Macaca mulatta: one gene and its partners. The protein of the gene in region 1 purifies or fractionates together with the protein of each later gene. This does not show direct contact. Links are inferred from orthologs where the notes say so. Each region holds a gene or a part of one and is shown in the gene's direction. Other genes may lie near its edges. The genes, in order: KIF23, SHCBP1, ARF6, RACGAP1 and ECT2.

The links.
Region 2: the proteins of KIF23 (region 1) and SHCBP1 purify together in Homo sapiens (affinity purification with western blotting; 9 studies listed by BioGRID and IntAct, with this or other methods). This does not show direct contact. The link is inferred for Macaca mulatta from reciprocal best matches to the Homo sapiens genes KIF23 and SHCBP1.
Region 3: the proteins of KIF23 (region 1) and ARF6 purify together in Homo sapiens (affinity purification with western blotting; 3 studies listed by BioGRID and IntAct, with this or other methods). This does not show direct contact. The link is inferred for Macaca mulatta from reciprocal best matches to the Homo sapiens genes KIF23 and ARF6.
Region 4: the proteins of KIF23 (region 1) and RACGAP1 purify together in Homo sapiens (co-immunoprecipitation; 10 studies listed by BioGRID and IntAct, counting the BioPlex papers as one, with this or other methods). This does not show direct contact. The link is inferred for Macaca mulatta from reciprocal best matches to the Homo sapiens genes KIF23 and RACGAP1.
Region 5: the proteins of KIF23 (region 1) and ECT2 purify together in Homo sapiens (co-immunoprecipitation; 3 studies listed by BioGRID and IntAct, with this or other methods). This does not show direct contact. The link is inferred for Macaca mulatta from reciprocal best matches to the Homo sapiens genes KIF23 and ECT2.

The regions. Positions count from the first base shown.
Region 1 is NC_133412.1:47,026,563-47,030,077, forward strand, and holds part of KIF23 (kinesin-like protein KIF23), read left to right. Parts: intron 1-252; coding exon 253-381; intron 382-3,515.
Region 2 is NC_133425.1:42,038,922-42,042,436, reverse strand, and holds part of SHCBP1 (SHC SH2 domain-binding protein 1), read left to right. Parts: intron 1-1,358; coding exon 1,359-1,567; intron 1,568-3,515. UniProt on the Homo sapiens protein: May play a role in signaling pathways governing cellular proliferation, cell growth and differentiation. May be a component of a novel signaling pathway downstream of Shc. Acts as a positive regulator of FGF signaling in neural progenitor cells.
Region 3 is NC_133412.1:123,126,035-123,130,333, forward strand, and holds the start of ARF6 (ADP-ribosylation factor 6), read left to right. Parts: upstream 1-1,492; 5' UTR 1,493-1,632; intron 1,633-1,732; 5' UTR 1,733-2,213; coding exon 2,214-2,741; 3' UTR 2,742-4,299. UniProt on the Homo sapiens protein: GTP-binding protein involved in protein trafficking that regulates endocytic recycling and cytoskeleton remodeling. GTP-bound form plays an important role in the transport of multiple palmitoylated proteins form the Golgi to the plasma membrane.
Region 4 is NC_133416.1:57,172,538-57,176,052, reverse strand, and holds part of RACGAP1 (rac GTPase-activating protein 1), read left to right. Parts: intron 1-1,007; coding exon 1,008-1,125; intron 1,126-1,469; coding exon 1,470-1,600; intron 1,601-3,515.
Region 5 is NC_133407.1:84,486,904-84,491,058, forward strand, and holds the start of ECT2 (protein ECT2), read left to right. Parts: upstream 1-1,350; 5' UTR 1,351-1,485; intron 1,486-3,576; exon of another isoform or gene 3,577-3,687; intron 3,688-4,155. UniProt on the Homo sapiens protein: Guanine nucleotide exchange factor (GEF) that catalyzes the exchange of GDP for GTP. Promotes guanine nucleotide exchange on the Rho family members of small GTPases, like RHOA, RHOC, RAC1 and CDC42.

The DNA.
Region 1 (3,515 bases):
CAATTTGATTTTTATTATCAAAATTTATTTTAATTTTGTGTGTATTTAAAGTTTTCTCATATCTAATATATGTTTGTATTTGTCAATCTCAAGTAGCAGATTTTAATTTTCATAGCTCTTGGAGATACAGAGCTCTAAAACTGAGAGACCACAAATGTTTGTTGAATGAATGAAGGAATGAATGAGAAGCTTAAGTGAAAAGTCAGGCAAAAGATCAAACTTTGTTATTTAAGCACCTTCTTATTTCTTCAGGTATACTGTAGGGTGCGCCCACTGGGCTTTCCTGATCAAGAGTGTTGCATAGAAGTGATCAATAACACAACTGTTCAGCTTCATACTCCTGAGGGCTATAGACTCAACCGAAATGGAGACTATAAGGAGGTAATTCTGATTTGAACCAAGTTGTTTTTTCTCAATATGTTGTTTCCTGAATGACTTACAGTTTTAAATGTAACAAAGTTCATTTGTGAGCCCACATTTTCGAAAGACTTATTTACTTCATTATAACCACTGTATCTAAAGTGTTTTTGACTTCTGCGATGCACAGACATATCTTTGATATGCTGGAGTTAGAGGATTGCTTTTAGCAGATAATTTCTTACCCTGAGTATTATTGGTTTTTAGAGCATGTGTTAGGGATGATTTAATGTGGAATGATACATGATTGTACTAGGCAGTTTTATATATACAACTTCATGTGTGGAAATTAAAGTAACATTTAATAATAGGCATTGTATGCTTGCATCAATCTCCTAGGCAGTGTTTTTATTTTTAGTAAAATTTTGAACCAACTCAAAAATACCATTTAGCAAATGTGCTAAGCTAATAGCTGGAGGCGGGAAGGAGATTTTAAAAAAATGAGCATGATATACTCCTTGCCTTTAGAAAGTCTATAACTTAAGACATATGGTAAACAAATAATTCTCATGTAAATAAGACAGAAAGTTAGGTGTGCTAAAGATGAGGGGACCGTGGGAATGCAGTAGGATTAATTCAGGCAGGCTACCATTTCTACTTCTAGCTATCACTCACTCTTTTGTGCCTACTATTCCTGTGAAATTGCTCTTCAGAAGAATACCAGTGGCCTCTTTGCTGCTAAATTTGATGTATACCTCTTCATCCTCATTATAACCTGTTTGTCAGCAGCACTCCCCTGTTTCCCGCTCCAGCTCTCCCTGTATCTCCAGCCGAAACCTTTTCTCTGGCTCTAAACATTCAGCCACTTACTTGATATCTCTGCTTGGATGTCACATGTGCATCTCAAATTTTACATGCCCAAAAAAGAGTTCTTGATTTTTCTTATTCCCTTTATAAATACTTCCTCCCTTGTTTTCTTCTCAAAGAATGGCACTGTCATCTGTCCAGTTGCTCAAGCCAGAAACCTGGTACCTACTGTTTACTTGCCCCTCCTCATAACTAGTTCATTAATAGCTCCTATCAGTTATATTCCAACATGTGTCTTGAAACTGTCCTTTCATTTCCATCTCCACTGCCACCACCCTAGTCTGAGCCCCATTATTAACCACTGAGACCAGTGCTACTGTAATGAAGGAGTAGCTTTTTTATTTTTAACGCATCACAGCTGGGACTTTTGTACACTGTGCCCGTGTGAGTTAGACAACAGGGAACTAGTTCATAATCTCTTCATAGAGATGAGCCTATTGAATACGGGCTGAAATACTGATAATTGGGCAGTGTCAAATGCCTGTAAAACTTTCTAAACATTTGGCCGGGCGCAGTGACTCATGTCTGTAATTCCAGCACTTTGGGAGGCCAAGGCTTGTGAATCACCTGAGGTCAGGACTTCAAGACCAGCCTAACCAATATGATGAAACCCTGTCTCTACTAAAAATACAAAGAAATTAGCCGGGCGTGGTGGGGCGTGCCTGTAATCCCAGCTACTCGGGAGGCTGAGACAGAAGAATCACTTGAACCCGGGAGGCGGAGGTTGCAGTGAGCCGAGATCGCACCATTACACTCCAGCCTGGGCAACAAGAGTGAAACTCCATCTCAAAAAACAAACAAAGAAAAAACAACTTTCTAAACATTTAAGTAGTCTTGTAACAGTTCTCAGACAGGCATTGGTTTGCTGAGTGTGCTTTGGGTATCATTGACACGACTGCCAAAGCCCAACTGCCTCCACTTGAAATCTTCTCTAATCCATTTCTACAGAGCAGACAGTGTTCTTTTAAAACATAAAATCTCATCATTTTCCTATTCAAAACCTTTCAAGGAATAAAATCTTTAAACAGACAAAATCCTGCTTCATCCGCCTCCCATCTGTCTCTCCACCCTCCACCCTCATCCATCTTTTAGTATTTATCCAATCCTTTGAGTTCCTTGGATAAGGCAGAATCCTGGCTGTTAGCTGTTGCCTTAACCCGGACTTTTTCTGGACCTTAGCATGGGTCATTCTTGGGTTTCAGCTTAAATGTCACCTCAGGTCATATAGACTGCGCAATCAGAAACAGCACCCCACAGCCCCTCTCCCCTGATCTGTACTCTGTGTACCTCCTTTATATTACTTAACCACAATCTATTTATTTACCTGTTTATTGTCTTTCTTCTACTATAATGTAAACTTCCAAGGAATATGTACCTTATATGTTCTGTTCATCAGACAGTAAATATGGCTTCAGCAAGAATGCATGGTCTGGGGGGGTTTTATGGAGGAGCAGGTCTTTGAGGATATAATATGGTTAAACACTGATTTACTGAGTTTTACTTCTTTAAGTAAATTTCAAGTATGTATAAATAAAGGTATCAAGTAGGTATAAAAAGGTTTGATGGGGATTAAAAATAATCACTGCTTTCTGACAGAAGGCAACATTATATAATGAAAAGAGCATTGCGGCCCGGCATGATGGCTTACACATGTAATCCCAGTGCTTTGGGAGGCCAAGGCAGGTGGATCACCTGAGATCAGGAGTTCGAGACCAGCTTGGCCAATGTGGCGAAACCCCATCACTACTAAAAATACAAAAGTTACCCAGTGTGGTGGCAGGCGCCTGTAATCCCAGCTGCTCGGGAGGCTGAGGCAGGAGTATGGCTTGAACCTAGGAGGCAGAGGTTGCAGTGAGCCGAGATCCCGCCACTACGCTCCAACCTGGGTGACAGAGCAAGACTCTGTCTCAAAAAAAAAAAAAAAAAGAAAGAAAACAAAAACACTGCACTGACGATGGCTTTGATACTAATTAACTCCATGAGCTCAGAGAAGTTTCACCTTTGGGCCTCAGTTTTCTTTACCTTGAAGGGAGGGAGTCATTCATGAGGACTGTGAGGTCATCTATCTTCTCAGTATTGTCCTATGTGTATCCTTTCAGTTCCAAGATTGTTTGTTCTTTTTGAACTCTAAAGCTGTTTTTACAGGATATTTTATTAATCGTATTTAGAGAGCCTTGATAATTGAAGTGTTCTTGCTTTCTTAAAGGTCACAATTTATTTAAAATGTATTTCATGTAAGAACTCAGAGATGAGATAATATTCTGATTTTAAAGTATAGTACATCAAAATGT
Region 2 (3,515 bases), on another chromosome or scaffold:
ATGTTGCAGGAAGTGTTCTGCAAATTTTAAAGGCAACTGAGGAGTTGTTACCAGGGAATTAAACTGGTATAAATTAATTAAAAGAAGGTATTTGAGATCACTTAAAAAATTAGGCCTAATTATGAAGTTAATGGTTTCAAAAAAGTTTTTAACTTCTTAATTGTAATTCGTTAAGCAGCTCAAACCTAAGAGACATTTTTATTTATTTATTGTTTTTGAGATGGAGTCTCACTCTGTTGCTTAGGCTGGAGTGCAGTGGCATGATCTTGGCTCACTGCAACCTCCGCTAAGTGGCATTTTAAAACTAGCCCATTTTTTGCATAGCAAGTTTGTTTATATGTGGTTAATCTCTTGACATTGTGTCCCATTGCAGAATGTAAAAGCAATCTTATTCTTCTGCTGACTAGGCCTTTTACATTATATTTGCATTCTAATTACAGCTTTGAATTTTTCTCAGTGTTTGTTAACTGACCACAAAAAGCCCTAGTAACCTAAAATGTCAAACCAGGGTATGTGAATACAAGTTGTCGCTGCAGCTCCCTTAGAAAATGGCATCACATACTGCAGTGATTATGTACGAGGCAGTGGATTGCAGCTATTGCTTGTGAGTTTTAAAATTTTGGATTATGCTAATATTTTTTGGTTGAAGTTCAGGCCTATTCGTTTGGTTATGATAGGGCGCCCCCTGCCAGTCCGTTCTCTGAAAACAGTCAAAGTCATTGTTTCAAAACAGAAGCATGCCATTTCTCTGCTTAAAACTCCTAATGCATTGTCTTTACCAAGGGCTTAGTATTGGCTTTATGGCTTCTCATTGTATAGAAAACACGTAAAATCCAAGCTCCTTCAGATGTCCTTCATGTCCTTGTCTTGTTGCCTCTCTCTCTCTCACCTCATGTCTTGCTGCTCCACTGCACACCACCCCCTTCCTCCATTTCCTCCCTTTGGCTCCAGCAAGGACTGCCTTCCCGCTCGTTCAGCTGCCAAGCCTGTCTCTGGCACAGGCCTTTTGCGCTTTCCCTGCTCTTCACATGGCTGCTTCCTTCTCATCCTCCTCAGCTTGGCTCAGAGCTGATTTCCTTGGCCATCTCAGCAGAACCAGATCCCCACCCCTGCTAGTTATTCTCTGTCACCTACTCGTTATCATTGTGTTTATTGATCTCCCTGATTACAGTGTAAGCTCCATGAGGATTACAGTGTAAGCTCCATGAGCCAGCCTGATTTGTTCATCCTTTATGTTATGGGTAAAGGCTCCCCACCCACGTTGTATGCTTTTAAAAAAATCAGATTGTCAGTAGTATCTTATAGGTATATCTTAATTTTGATTTCCATGTGTTAAGTCTCATTATTTTAAATTTCAGGCCACAGATGTGGACTTTGCAGCCTTGAAGGCAGTGGTGAGGCTTGCTGAACCATACCTCTGTGACTCTCAAGTGAGCACTTTTACCATGGAGTGCATGAAGGAGCTCCTCGATCTGAAGGAACATCGGTTGCCCCTGCAGGAGCTCTGGGTGGTGTTTGATGATTCGGGAGTGTTTGACCAGACAGCCCTTGCAATTGAGCATGTCAGGTAGGAAAAGAAGTTGAGAAAAATAACCTTGTGGCCAGAAACTTTGGATGAAATGAAGTAATTCTGGTCTGTGTTAGACCCAGATTTAAAACTCAACTGTAAACTTGGTCATTGCAGTATTCAAAAATATCCAAAGATAGGATAATCTTTTTTAAATTAAAAAAAATTAATGTCTTAAATCATTTTTTTCTATTTTTAATTTTGAGACAGAGTCTTGCTCTGTTGTCCAGGCTGGGGTGCATTGGCGTGATCTTGGCTCACTGCAACCTCCACCTCCTGGGTTCAAGCGATTCTCCTGCCTCAGCCTTCTGAGTAGCTGGGATTATAGGCATCCACCACCATGCCCGGCTAAATTTTATACTTCTAGTAGAGACGAGGTTTCACTATGTTGGCCAGGTTGGTCTCAAACTCTTGACCTCAGGTGATCCACCTGCCTCTACCTCCCGAAGTGCTGGGATTACAGGCGTGACCCACCATGCACCTGGCCTAAAAACGTTTTAAGTCATTTTATGATAATTTCAAACTAATAGAAAAGCTGACAAAACTAGTATAGTTGACTCTTGAATGATGCGGGGGTTAGGGGTGCCTATCTCGTCTGACCCCTACACAGTCAAATATCTGAGTATAACATTTGAGTAATATATAATGACCATAATGTAAATAATATTGCTTGGTGTTTTGTAGTATAAAAAGTACTTTCCATTTTCTATACCATTAGTAAGTTAGCCTAGTTTTGCTGAGCTTAACTCGAATGCTCTGCACAGAAGCAGAATGTTTCAGGCCCTGCTGCCAACATCTTACGGACAGTTTCTAATTGTATGCAAGAACATTTAACCCTAGATGTTCAGTATTGGGCCAAGCAGAGTGAATCTAATGAACCGGTTTCTGTCTGGAACCCAAATAACTCTCTTCTATTTTTCTCATTAAAAAAAAAAAATCTGTCAATTGAAACATTTGAAGATAAAGAGATAACTGATAAGTTTAGGAAATTAGGAATCAGAGAGCTAATCTCTATGGGCATAGAAGTTGGTAGAAAAATAAGTATCTGGAATGTTATTTAGTAGTATTATTTGCAGAGGAGCCTGGTTAAATGTACACTGCATTTTGAGGGCTGAGATTTGGGTCAGTGCCCAGAGAGGGTCAAATTATGAGGGATTTCACTCGTTCATTGATTCAATAAATATTTGAGTGCCAGGTCCTTAGTCAAGGGTGGAGTATGTCTGGTGCATGAGACACACCATCATCAGGGAGCTGTTAGTCTAAAGGTGGGAGATGAGCCTTGAAGAGATAATCACGCACAGTTGTCTGCATGATTGGAAATAGCAGTCAGTGCTGTGAAGAATTACAGAGTGTCCTAAGATTAGGTCAAGTTGCAGTTCTAGGGTTATTTCCTGGAATAATGACATTTGAACTTGGGTTAGCTGGGTGAAAGGGGAGGCAGGGGTGGGGAAGGGAACAGATTTAGGAGCTCAGTGTGTTGAAGGAGCTGAAAGGCCAGCATGGCTGGAACACAGACAGTGCTGGGAGAGACCTAGGAAACGAGATTAGAGAGGTTGGCAGGGCCCAGACAGTGTGGGGCTTTGTTAGCTGGCTAGTCATTTTTGTCTTTAAGAGCAGTGGGAAGCCACTGAAGGATTTTTATTCTTGGGCAAATATGACTAGTTTTGTGTTTTGTGTTTTTATTTTTTTGGAAACAGGGTCTTATTCTGTTGCCCAGGCTGGAGTGCAGTGGTGCAGTTATGGTTCAATGCAGGCTCGAACTGCGGGGCTCAAGTCATCCTCTTGCTTCAGCCTCTGGATCAGCTGGGATTACAGGCATGTGCCACCACTGCCCAGCTAATTTTTTGACACAATTTTTCCATAGAGATGGGGGCCTTGTTGTGTTGCCCAAGCTGGTCTTGAACTCCTGGGCTCAAGCAATCCTCCCACCTCAGTCCCCTAAAGTGCT
Region 3 (4,299 bases), about 76 Mb from region 1:
GAGGCCGAGGTGGGTGGATCACCTGAGGTCAGGACTTCGACACCAGGCTGGCCAACACAGTGAAATCCTGTCTCTGCTACAAATACAAAAATTAGCCGGGCCTGGTGGTGGGCGCCCGTAATTCCAGCTGCTCCGGAAGCTAACGCAGGAGAACTGCTTGAACCCGGGATGAGAAGGCTGCAGTGAGCCGAGATTGTGCCACTGGACTGCAACAGAAACAAAACAAAAACCAAAAAACCAAAAATGTGCCCTAAAGTCTTCCACATTGTATTATTTAAGCCTCACTGGGGGAGTTAGCAAGGTCAGTTTACACATGAGATAAACTTAGTAAGGTTAAGTGCCAGATCCAGGCCATACAAGCGGTCGTTCTATATTCTAAATCCTATATTTTACCGCCTAGGCTTCTTAAAGAATGGGAGGCCAGGCGCGGTGGCTCACGCCTGTAATCCCAACACTTTGGGAGGCAGAGACGAGCGGATCAAGAGGTCAGGAGATCGGGACCATCCTGGCTAACACGGTGAAACCCCGTCTCTACTAAAACTACAAAAAATTAGCCAGGCGTGGTGGCGGGCGCCTGTACCCCCAGCTACTCCGGAAGCTGAGGGCTACCCAGGAGGCTGAGGCAGAATGGCCTGAACCCGGGAGGCGGAGCTTGCAGTGAGCCGAGATCGCGCCACTGCACTCCAGACTGGGCGACAAAGCGAGACTGTCTCAAAAAAAAAAAAAAAAAGAATGGGTAGGTGGGTGAGAAGCTACTACTAACCATATAAAATAAAGTGATATTTAAAGATGAACAGATGTCGCATTCTAAAAAGGTGAAAACGCGGCAAGGCACAGGAACTCTTGATAAATACTGCAGTTTTTAAGAAACATGGGCTGGTCTTGACGAGACCTATAGGCAGACAGGGCTCAAACATTCAAAAGAGCTACAGAGTAAACTCAACTCCCCGAAAGCGCTGCACTGACTGGCAGATTCCACACGAGACACTGGCCTCCCACGTGTCTTTCAGAAAACACACAAAATTCAAGGGATAAAGAAAGCCAAGGGGATGAGAAAAAGGAAAAAAAAAAAAAAACCGAACAGAGCTTCTCTGGGAAGTTGAGGGTGCGCGGAGGGTGCGCGAAGGCTGGGGCGGGCGGAGGGAACTCGCACAGCATCTGGCGGGCACCGAGGTCTGGGAACAGGCCTGGAGGCAGCTCTGTTCGTGGAGAGAGTGGGCTGCCCGTGGGCCCCACCCTGTGGAGCCCCCCCAGTAGATCTGTCCCTTGGTTCGTGTGGGCAGGGGAGGGCAGAGCGCAGAAGAGAAAAACAGGGAACGAGACGCTAGAAGAGCCACAGGTGGGCGCCGGTCAGAGTCCGAGGTTGCAGGTCTCTGGGCCAACCGCACCTGCGGGCCCTCCGAGACGCCGTAGCCCCGCCCCTCCGGCGCGTGGCGCCCATGACGCTAGGCGCGCGGGCCGCTCTCCTTACAGAGGTCGCTCTTGTCCGAACGGTCGGCCTCTGCTGCGCCTGCGTGGTTGGGAGGGGAAGTGAGGCGGTTTCCTCGGCGCCTTTTCCGGCAGCGGCGGCGGCAGAACTGGGAGGAGGAGTTGGAGGCCGGAGGGAGCCCGCGCTCGGGGCGGCGGCTGGAGGTAACCCCCTGCACCGAGCTGGAAAGGCGGGCCACCTCTGTCTTCACTCCTCTCTGGATCTCTGGCGGTAACTCCCCTCTCCCTCTCTGTTTCTCTGCAGGCAGCGTACCGAGTTCCCGCGAGGATCCATGACCTGACGGGGCCCCGGAGTCGTGCTGCCTCTCGGGTGTCCTGGGTCGGTGGTGAGCCCAGTGTTTGCAGGCCGGCTGGCGGGCCGGAGGGCCGCATTCTCCCTCGGGGTGAGAGGAAGGCGGAGGAGCGGGAACCGCGGCGGCGCTCGCGCGGCGCCTGCGGGGGGAAGGGCAGTTCCGGGCCGGGCCGCGCCTCAGCAGGGCGGCGGCTCCCGGCGCAGACTCAGGGCCCGGGTGGCAGCGGCGAGTGGAGGAATCAAGTTGTGCGGTCGGTGATGCCCGAGTGAGCGGCAGTCCTGGGCCTCTGCCCTTAGGAGGCACCTCCCACGCAGGCCGCAAAGGCGCCTTCGCGGCCGGGAGGCTTCGTTTCGGTTTCGCGGCGGCGGCGGCGTTGTTGGCTGACGGGACCCGGGACACCTGAATGCCCCCGGCCCCGGCTCCTCCGACGCGATGGGGAAGGTGCTATCCAAAATCTTCGGGAACAAGGAAATGCGGATCCTCATGTTGGGCCTGGACGCGGCCGGCAAGACAACAATCCTGTACAAGTTGAAGCTGGGCCAGTCGGTGACCACCATTCCCACTGTGGGTTTCAACGTGGAGACGGTGACTTACAAAAATGTCAAGTTCAACGTATGGGATGTGGGCGGCCAGGACAAGATCCGGCCGCTCTGGCGGCATTACTACACTGGGACCCAAGGTCTGATCTTCGTAGTGGACTGCGCCGACCGCGACCGCATCGATGAGGCTCGCCAGGAGCTGCACCGCATTATCAATGACCGGGAGATGAGGGACGCCATAATCCTCATCTTCGCCAACAAGCAGGACCTGCCTGATGCCATGAAACCCCACGAGATCCAGGAGAAACTGGGCCTGACCCGGATTCGGGACAGGAACTGGTATGTGCAGCCCTCCTGTGCCACCTCAGGGGACGGACTCTATGAGGGGCTCACATGGTTAACCTCTAACTACAAATCTTAATGAGCATTCTCCACCCATCCCCTGGAAGGAGAGAAATCAAAAACCCATTCATAGGATTATCGCCACCATCACCTCTTTCAATTGCCACTTTCTCTTCTTTTGAATTTGAACTCTGGAGTTACTGTTCTACAGTTTGGGGGGAGGGGGCTTGGGGGTTTTCTCTTTTGTTTGTTTCTCTTCTTCCCTTTTTTTTTTTTTTTGGCTTTGCATTAGGATGCTCTGATCTGACATTTGACATGAACACAAAGTTGCTAGATGCTCTTATTGACTTCCAGCAGATGGGATGGGGGAAATACAGCAGTTCCTGGTAAAGTCCTTTGTAATAATAGTTTGATTTTTTTATTTCGAGAGAATCTTTCATTTTCCTATGTATGCTTTTTTCCTTTTTTGCCCAGTTTCCTTATCACTTGCTGTAGATGGCTTATTTTGCATTCATGCAGACTATGTTGCAAGTCTGTTTCATCTAGTAAACTGAAAATTATTGCTTAATCAAACTGCCGTTTGTCTTTTATACTTAAGGCCTTTCCCCCCTTCCTTATGAGTTCTAACTTAGTAATTTCAAATGTGACCTTTTATATCTAAGACCAGTATAGTAAACTTAGCCCACAGTGGCGAGTAATGAGTAATATCATTGTAATATGTTCCAGTTGCACCTCAGTATGTTAAACAGGTAATGTAAGAGGTTCTCTGAAATGTCAGCAAATAAGTTCTGAAACATACATCATGCATGAGTAGGAATAAAACCCAAGTTCCCCACAAGGTAGCTAACTTAACGCTGCATAAGAATATGAAAGTGTAACCCATGAAGGACACTTTTTTTTTCCACTGCAAAGTTAGTCACTTTGCTGTTTTCCCTCTTTTTTAAACTTTAAAAATAGACTCCAGGAATTGGAGCAATAATGGTGTATACCACACACAGATTAAACATTTGTAGATATTTTAAGTGACTTTTGGGCAAAACTGGAATGTATACTTTGACCTTGTTTCAAACGCCTGAGACCAGTAACTTAAAAATTACTAAAAGGTTTACTTTGTTCATTAATAAAGCATTTAGCAATTCAAATTATATGCACCTTTTACCTAGTTGAAAAAAATACACATTCCTGTTTTCACATTATAGCAACTGATAAAGCTGAAGCTATAAGTCATTTTTATAGATGAGTGATCCACATCTCCATCAATTAGAACACTGGAAAAGATGTTTTATAAAAAAGGTATTTAATTTTGTTTGTAGGATTAACTCATGCAAATAATGAAGATATCCTGTTGGTTCAATAGTACACTGTCTCCTTTAAGGAAGGAAGCGTGATGAATGAATGATGTGTAGACTTGAGGGATGACTATTAAAGGGGACGTAGGATGAAGAGAAAGAACCTACAGATGACAATGAATGTAAACTTATTTTTCTTCATATGTAAGCAGTGTGCTCGCTGGTGATATCCAGATCCTAACAAGATTACTTGGTTAGCTGGTTAGGACCAGTAACTGGATTGCGACCACTATGATAATATTTTGAACCAAATGTTAATGCTTGATGCAGAATTGTAAAGCAGCATCT
Region 4 (3,515 bases), on another chromosome or scaffold:
GTAGAATCCTTATCCATGTGAATGGAATTACTCTGATTAAGTAAATAACTGTCAGAGTGAGTCTTAGTTGCTTGAATATATGCCCCCATCACCTATGTTTATCTTCTTAAGTATGAGATTTCTTTATTTTTACTTTTTAAAGTAGAGGGAGAGTCTCTCCTTGCTGCCCAGGATGGTCTCGAACTGCTGGGCTCACGTGATGTTCCCCACCTCGGCCTCCCAAAATGCTGGGATTACAGGCATGAGCCACTGCACCCAGCCAAACATGAGATTTCAACATAAGAATGTTTCAGGTCGGGCGTGGTGGCTCACACCTGTAATCCCTGCACTTTGGGAGGCCTAGGCAGGTGGATGATCACCTGAGGTCAGGAGTTCGAGACCAGCCTGGTCAACATGGCGAAACCCCGTCTCTACTGAAAATACAAAAATCAGTCGGCCAGACACGGTGGCTCACGCCTGTAATCCCAGCACTTTAGGAGACCGAGGCGGGTGGATCACGAGGTCAGGAGATCGAGACCATCCTGGCTAACACAGTGAAACCCCGTCTCTACTAAAACTACAAAAAATTAACTGGGCGTGCTGGCGGATGCCTGTAGTCCCAGCTACTCGGGAGGCTGAGGCAGGAGAATGGCATGAACCCGGGAGGCGGAACTTGCAGTGAGCTGATATTGGGCCACTGTTCTCCAGCCTGGGTGATAGAGCGAGACTCCGTCTCAAAAAAAAAAAAAAAATCAGTCAGGTGTGGTGGCACACGCTTGTAATCGCAGCTACTCAGGAGGCTGAGGCAGGAGAATCCCTTGAACCTGGGAGGTGGAGGTTGCAGTGAGCCGAGATCGTGCCACTGTGCACCAGCCTGGGCGATAGAGTGAAAAAAAAAAAGAGTTTCAGACTGTGGTCTTAAGTCTTGGCTAAGACTAAGGAATTTTTAACCTGCTCCAAAATACCCTATAGTAGAAGGTGAGTTAGATGCTTTGTTTGTCTTTCTCTCATTACTACTTTTGTTGCAGGGGAATGAATCCATAGTTGCAAAAACTACAGTGACTGTTCCCAATGATGGTGGGCCCATCGAAGCTGTGTCCACTATTGAGACTGTGCCATATTGGACCAGGAGCCGAAGGAAAACAGGTCCATTGAATTTGTGACTAAACTGGCCTGTGTAAAACAGCTAGTAAAATTTTGGAGAGTTGGTTTCTTAGAACCCTCCTGAAGCAGGGATTGGATGTATTGGGTAGTTTCTTACTGCTGCATACCGAGGACCAGATAACTGCTTGTATCATGCTTTACCTTTGAATTGCTAGCCTACTTGCATAACTTTAGTTTTTCTTGAAACTATTTTTTTACATAGCCATTAGTACTCACTTTTGGCTATGATGACAGATTACTGTTTATCTCCCAATTAAAATTGGAGCTAAAATTTAGAAGCAGCAAAATACTTAAGAAACAAAGCTTAAAAGTTGCTTGTTTTCTAGGTACTTTACAACCTTGGAACAGTGACTCCACCCTGAACAGCAGGCAGCTGGAGCCAAGAACTGAGACAGACAGTGTGGGCACGCCACAGAGTAATGGAGGGATGCGCCTGCATGACTTTGTTTCAAAGACGGTAAGTCTGTGATTGTTCGTTTTGTTTTAGGTATGTTTTAATTTTTTAATTGTGAAAGTAATAAATACCAGGAATAAAGTTAAATACTTTAGTGTTATAAAGTTAAATGTCAAATTTCCTTCCTCATTCCAATTTTACTCTCCAGAAGTAACTATTGGTTACAGAGGTAAGTTTCTTTCCATTCTGTGAGTAATACTAAATTAAAGAAACCAACCTTTTCTGAAGCAATTGTTAGTGCTTTTTTTTTTTTTTTTTTGTGAGACAGAGTCTTACTCTGTCACCCAGGCTGGAGTGCAGTGGTGTGATCATAGCTCACTGTAGCCTTAACCTCCCAGTCTCAAGCAATCCTCCCACCTCAGCTCCTGAGTAGTTGGGATACAGATGTGTGCCACCATGCCCGGCTAATTTTTAAATTTTTTGTAGAGACCTGGTCTTGCTATGTTGCCCAGGCTGGTCTCAAACTCCTGGGCTCAAGTGCTCCTCCTGCCTCAGCTCCCCAAGTGCTGGGATTACAGGCATGAGCTACCGTGCCTGGCCGATTGTTAGTACTTTTTAGTGACACATGTTTACATTTTTTCTTGAATATATCACCTAAGATTTTCAAAATGTTTTGCTTTTGTACCATTTGATTTCCTTATGAAAATCCAAGCAAATTAACTGAGGCTCAGAGGAGTTGACATTTTTGAGCCACATGATAGTAAGTGACACATTTAACATCCAGGTTTTCTTTTTTTCTTTTTTTTCATTTGAGACGGAGTATCACTCTGTTGCCCAGGCTGGAGGGCAGTGGTGTGATTTCGGCTCACTGCAACCTCTGCCTCCTGGGTTAAAATGATCCTCCTGCCTCAGCCTCCCAAGTAGCTGGGATTACAGGCGCCCGCCACCATGCCTGGCCAAATTTTTGTACTTTTAGTAGAGATAGGATTTCACCACGTTGGCCAGGCTGGTCTCGAACTCCTGACCTCAGGTGATCCTCCCGCCTTAGCCTCCCAAAGTGCTGGGATTACAGGCATGAGCTACCATGCCTTGCCAACATCCAACATCCAGGTTTTCTGCTCTTTGTAAACAAGTTCTTTCCACTACCTCACACTGCTGCCTTCCAGCTGGATGACCTTAAATGAGTTACTTAAACTCTTTTTGCTTCTGTTTCCTCATCTTAAAATGAAGAAAACAAAACCTATCTTATGGGATTACTGTGAGAATTACATATGTAAATATGTGTAAAGGGCTTAGAAAATTTTTTGGCACATACTAAGTGCTCAATAAATGTTAGTTGATTATGGCTGGGAGCAGTGGCTCACGTCTGTAATCCCAGCACTTAGGGAGACTGAGGCAGGTGGATCACCTGAGGTCGGGAGTTCGAGACCAGCCTGACCAACGTGGAGAAACCCCGTCTCTACTAACAATATAAAAATTAACCGGGCGTGGTGGCGCATGCCTGTAATCCCAGCTGCTTGGGAGGCTAAGGCAGGAGAATCGCTTGAACCCGGGAGGTGGAGGTTGCAGTGAGCCAACCTCCATCACACCATTGCACTCCAGCCTGGGCAACAAGAGTGAAACTCTGTCTCAAAAAAAGACAGAAAAAGGCCAGGCCCAGTGGCTCACGCCTGTAATCCTAGCACTTTGGGAGGCCGAGGTGGGTGAATCACAAGGTCAGGAGTTCAAGACCAGCCTGGCCAACATGGTGAAACCCCGTCTCTACTAAAAATACAAAAGATTAGCTGGGCGTAGTGGTGGGCACCTGTAATCCCAGTTACTTGAATGGCTGAGGCAGGAGAATCGCTTGAACCCGGGAGGCGGAGGTTGCAGTGAGCTGAGATTGCACCACTGCACTCCAGCCTGGTTGACAGAGTGAGACTCAGTCTCAAAAAAAAAAAAAAAAAAAAAAAGTTGATTATGATGATAATTTTCTAAT
Region 5 (4,155 bases), on another chromosome or scaffold:
AAAGTCTGTTGAGCAGAAAGCGGTGCACAAAGGAAGTAGGGCTGCTTCTCACAGTAGCTTAATATGTTTTCAGTGATGAACATTTTTGGAATGCTGGGCACACCCAACTTCCAAATATGCAAGCACATTCCAAATGGAAATTTCAATTCTTGTTTTTCTTTTCTTCTGCCCTAACAGTTATCACAGCATTTTAATGAAGGTCAGACTTAAATACTGATAAGCAGGGAAACCAATAATTACCAGATTGCTTCATTCATTTTGTGGACAGCATTATAAACTTTTCCGGCATTCTAAGATTGCCTGACAAAATTAGAAAAAATTATTAAGTCCCCACGACCTGCTTGAGATGCTCACAAGTGTTCCATCCCAAAGTACACGTTTCCCTCTTCTTATTGGTATTTAGGTTCTGGCATCTGATTCCCCTTTCTTATTTATATTAGCCTTCAGGTGGGAACTATGCATAAACCCACCTGGTGGGGGTGTATTTTTCTTAAGAGATTGTGTTATATGGTATCATATTTAGAGAATAAAGAAATTATTTTCATAATAGCAACTCTAATCACAGGAAAAACTTGATAAATTCTTGACTAGACTTTAGGGGAAAGTACAAGTTCTTAGTGGGCGGAGGGGGGCAACGAGGAGGCAATTTGGCTCCAAAAATTCTTGAATCTAGTGGCATATTTTTATCAAATGCAAGCTTATCTTTTTAAAAATCCGAGAATTTTTCAAATTTCTAAGAATTGATTCTAACCCGCGATATTCCCTAGATGGGAGCGCAGTGGTTTAAATAATAGGATTTAAATAAGAGGCTGCTGATTCGAAGTCCACCTGGGGAGCCCGAGTTCTAGGACCGGTCCTTGGCCCTGCCACACGCCAATACAACTATCAAAGTCAAAATCCCTTAACTCAAATTTAAATACATTCGTAAAGCAGAAAGCATCCCGATAGGAAAATCCTACAGCTCACAGCAACCAGCAGGGAAACATTTATCTCTGGCGGCACTGATTTAAGTTTAGAAGATTTGGTATCGTTTAAAAAAAAAAAAGCTGGGTGGGGCCGAGGAGAATCCACCCAAACTTTCCTCAGGAAATAGGATGTTTACTGAGTAAATACGCGGTAGTCACAGAAACACCTGCTACTCCTATAAGAGCTCAGGAGCCACCACCGCCACCTCCTGGCCACATCCGGGCACTTCCCTGCAAACTCCTGACGACCCGACGTCCGAGCCGTTGGGCTTATTTGAAACACACGCACAACCAATCAAGCGGCGCCTGCCGGGAGGTGAAGAGCGTCGACCAATCACCGGCCCTCTGGAGACTCCTGCCTATGGGAAAGAGGTTGACATCACACGCCAATCGGCATGGCTCTTAGAGAGAGCAGCTTACTTTTTGAATCGGTTGTGGCGGCGGCCGGCAAGGAATGGCGGTATCTGTGAGAGGAGTCGGCCTTTGAAGAGTTGGAAGTCCTAGGGCTTTTTTGAGGGTGGTAAGGACTCTTTGTGAGTGAGGGAGGTGCAAGTGGGCGAGCGGCTCCAGAGCCAAGGGCTCTTTTGCCTGCGGTCGACGTCCCCGCCCCTAGTGACCGCGAATTCCGGAGCGCCCCAGCTCTGGCTTCCCGGCTCCGGGAACTGCCTCGCCGCACCCCACCCCCAGCAGCTGGGCCCTGACGCGGAGTGGGAGCCCGAAGCCCCCAGTATTGCTGGGCATCTTCGCCCTCACCTGTTGGCTCTTTTGGACGGAAGAGTGTGGGTGAAGGGAGGGAGTTGGGAAAGGGATTTTGGCAAGCCGCGCAGCCCTGTGGCTCTGGAGGCCGGCACTTGAAGCCTTTGGGGGCTTATCTCAGAGTGTGCAGTGGTTTTATTCTAGGATTCATCCTGGCTTCTTTGCGGGAAGTTTAGTTTTTCGTTTTTGCAAGATAAATCCAGGCCATCCGCCCCTCTTCCTCCCCAGCCACCCGGCACAGCTGTGTCTGGCTTAGTGGTTAAAGGCGCAGCCTCTGGATTCAGCCCGGCTTTGAATACCTCTTTTACCCCTTACTAATAGTTTGACTTAGGGGTAGTTACTTAACCTCTCTGTTCCTAGGTTTCTTCATCTATACATTGAAAATAATAATAGTACCTGCCTCTTAGGATTACTGCAGAGATTAAAAGGTTTAGGACAATGTCTGCCACGTATTAAGCGTTAAGTAAATGTCAGTTGTTAATAGTAACGTTATTGTTAATAACACCACCATTATACCCAGGATTGCATTTTAGTCCTTCACCTTGGAAGATGATTACCTAAAAAGTATTTAAGTAAAAGGAAACTTGAATGTTTGTTTACATGGCAAATTTTATCTCTGGGATAAAAGGGGGCATGTGTTATAGTGTGTTTAGCTAGAAGCTCTTTGGGTCTGTTCTTGGGTGAGAAGCCGTGTAGGTTTATGAACACTGATCCTATTGTGCTTATTTTAAAGGCTTCTGGAATACAGTAACTTGAAAAAAAGTGATTAATATATTTCAATTTCTAATCAGACTGTTGGATGTTAGTCATCAAGTTACCATGCATCTCTTTTTCTCTATAAATTTTGAAGCTGTTTTGGCAATAAATTGATCATATACAGTGTCATCAGGGACAATTTTAATTATTAATCATCTGCTTTTGATCATCTACGCTCCCTCCCTTTTATTAATCATCTGCTTTTGATCATTTGTTGTGCTCCCTCTTAAAGAGGGATGCATAGGAGAAAAACGTAAATATTTTCAATTTTTTTTTTTCTTAAGACGGAGTCTACCTCTTGTCACCTAGGCTGGAGTGCAGTGGCAGGATCTCGCCTCACTGCAACCTCCGCCTCGCGGGTTCTAGCGATTCTCCTGCCTCAGCCTCCTGAGTAGCTGGGATTACAGGCGCCTGCCACCACGCCCAGCTAATTTTTGTATTTTTAGTAGAGACGGGGTTTCGCTGTGTTGGCCAGGCTGGTCTCGAACTTGTGATCCGCCCGCCTTGGCCTCCGAAAGTGCTGGGATTACAAGCGTGAGCCACCGCGCCCGGCCTTTCAAATGATATTTTTGATTTCCCTCCTCCAGTCCTTAAAGCAGGTTAGCTCATCTCCTGACTTTTTTTTTAAACCACCTTTTAAGGGGACTTCGAATGAAAGCCACATTAATGCATTTTCATTGGAAAGGGTTGAGTGTAGAAGACTTAAAATAATAGGGCTGGATAGAATTTATCATTGATTCTAAATTAAGATTGTTACAATTATTGGACCGCTCCTTTGGAGAGCCTTAGAATAATAATTGACATGGATGTATGGTAAAGCAATAAGAAATATCCATATTGTGAATATTACATGAGAATAGTTGTTTGTTGTTCACTTTAAGACATCTAATCAGTTTTCATATTAACTAGATTTGAGTTGTAGTACTACGTGTGTTCCATCACTGGCTATGTGCAGGGCTGAGACAGGAAGCTGAGTTGCCTGATTTTGAAGTGTCACATGACACGATAAGACCTGTGCTGTTATTAGTGTGCAGGTTATTACATTCCTTATTTTCAGCATCCAAAAATGATGTTATGATACCTTACTGTTTCTTCACAGCATACAGTTTAAACTGTTACTTTGCTAAGACTCTGGAGGAAGGTATTTGTATATTTTATTAATCTGAAGAAGTAGGAAAGGGGAAAGTCTGACATGGAGCTCTTGTTAAAGGTGGGTCCTCTGTATCTTTGCCTAATATTTTAGAAATTTTCTCTCAGTAAAGTTGACTTATTGAAAATTGATAAAAATCTCTAAAAAAATTTTTTTTAGAGAGACAGGGTCTTGCTCTATCACCTAGGCTGGAGTGCAGTGGTGGGATCACAGCTCACTACAACCTCAAACTCCTGGGTTCAAGTGGTTCCCCTGTCTCAGCCTCTTGAGTAGCTACTATAGGCACTTGCCACCACACCTGGCTAATTTTTAAATTTGTTGTAGAGATGGGGTCTTGCTATGTTGCCCAGTCTGGTGTTGAAATTCTGGCCTCAAGTGATCCTCCTGCCTTGGCCTCCGAAAGTGCTGGGATTTCAGATGTGAGCCACCGAACCCACCCTGATGAAAACCTGTTAAACCTTTTATTCCCTGTCTAGCTTTTAAACTCTTCTTAAGTACTGGAAAACTTAAAAAAGGATTTTCTTTCAT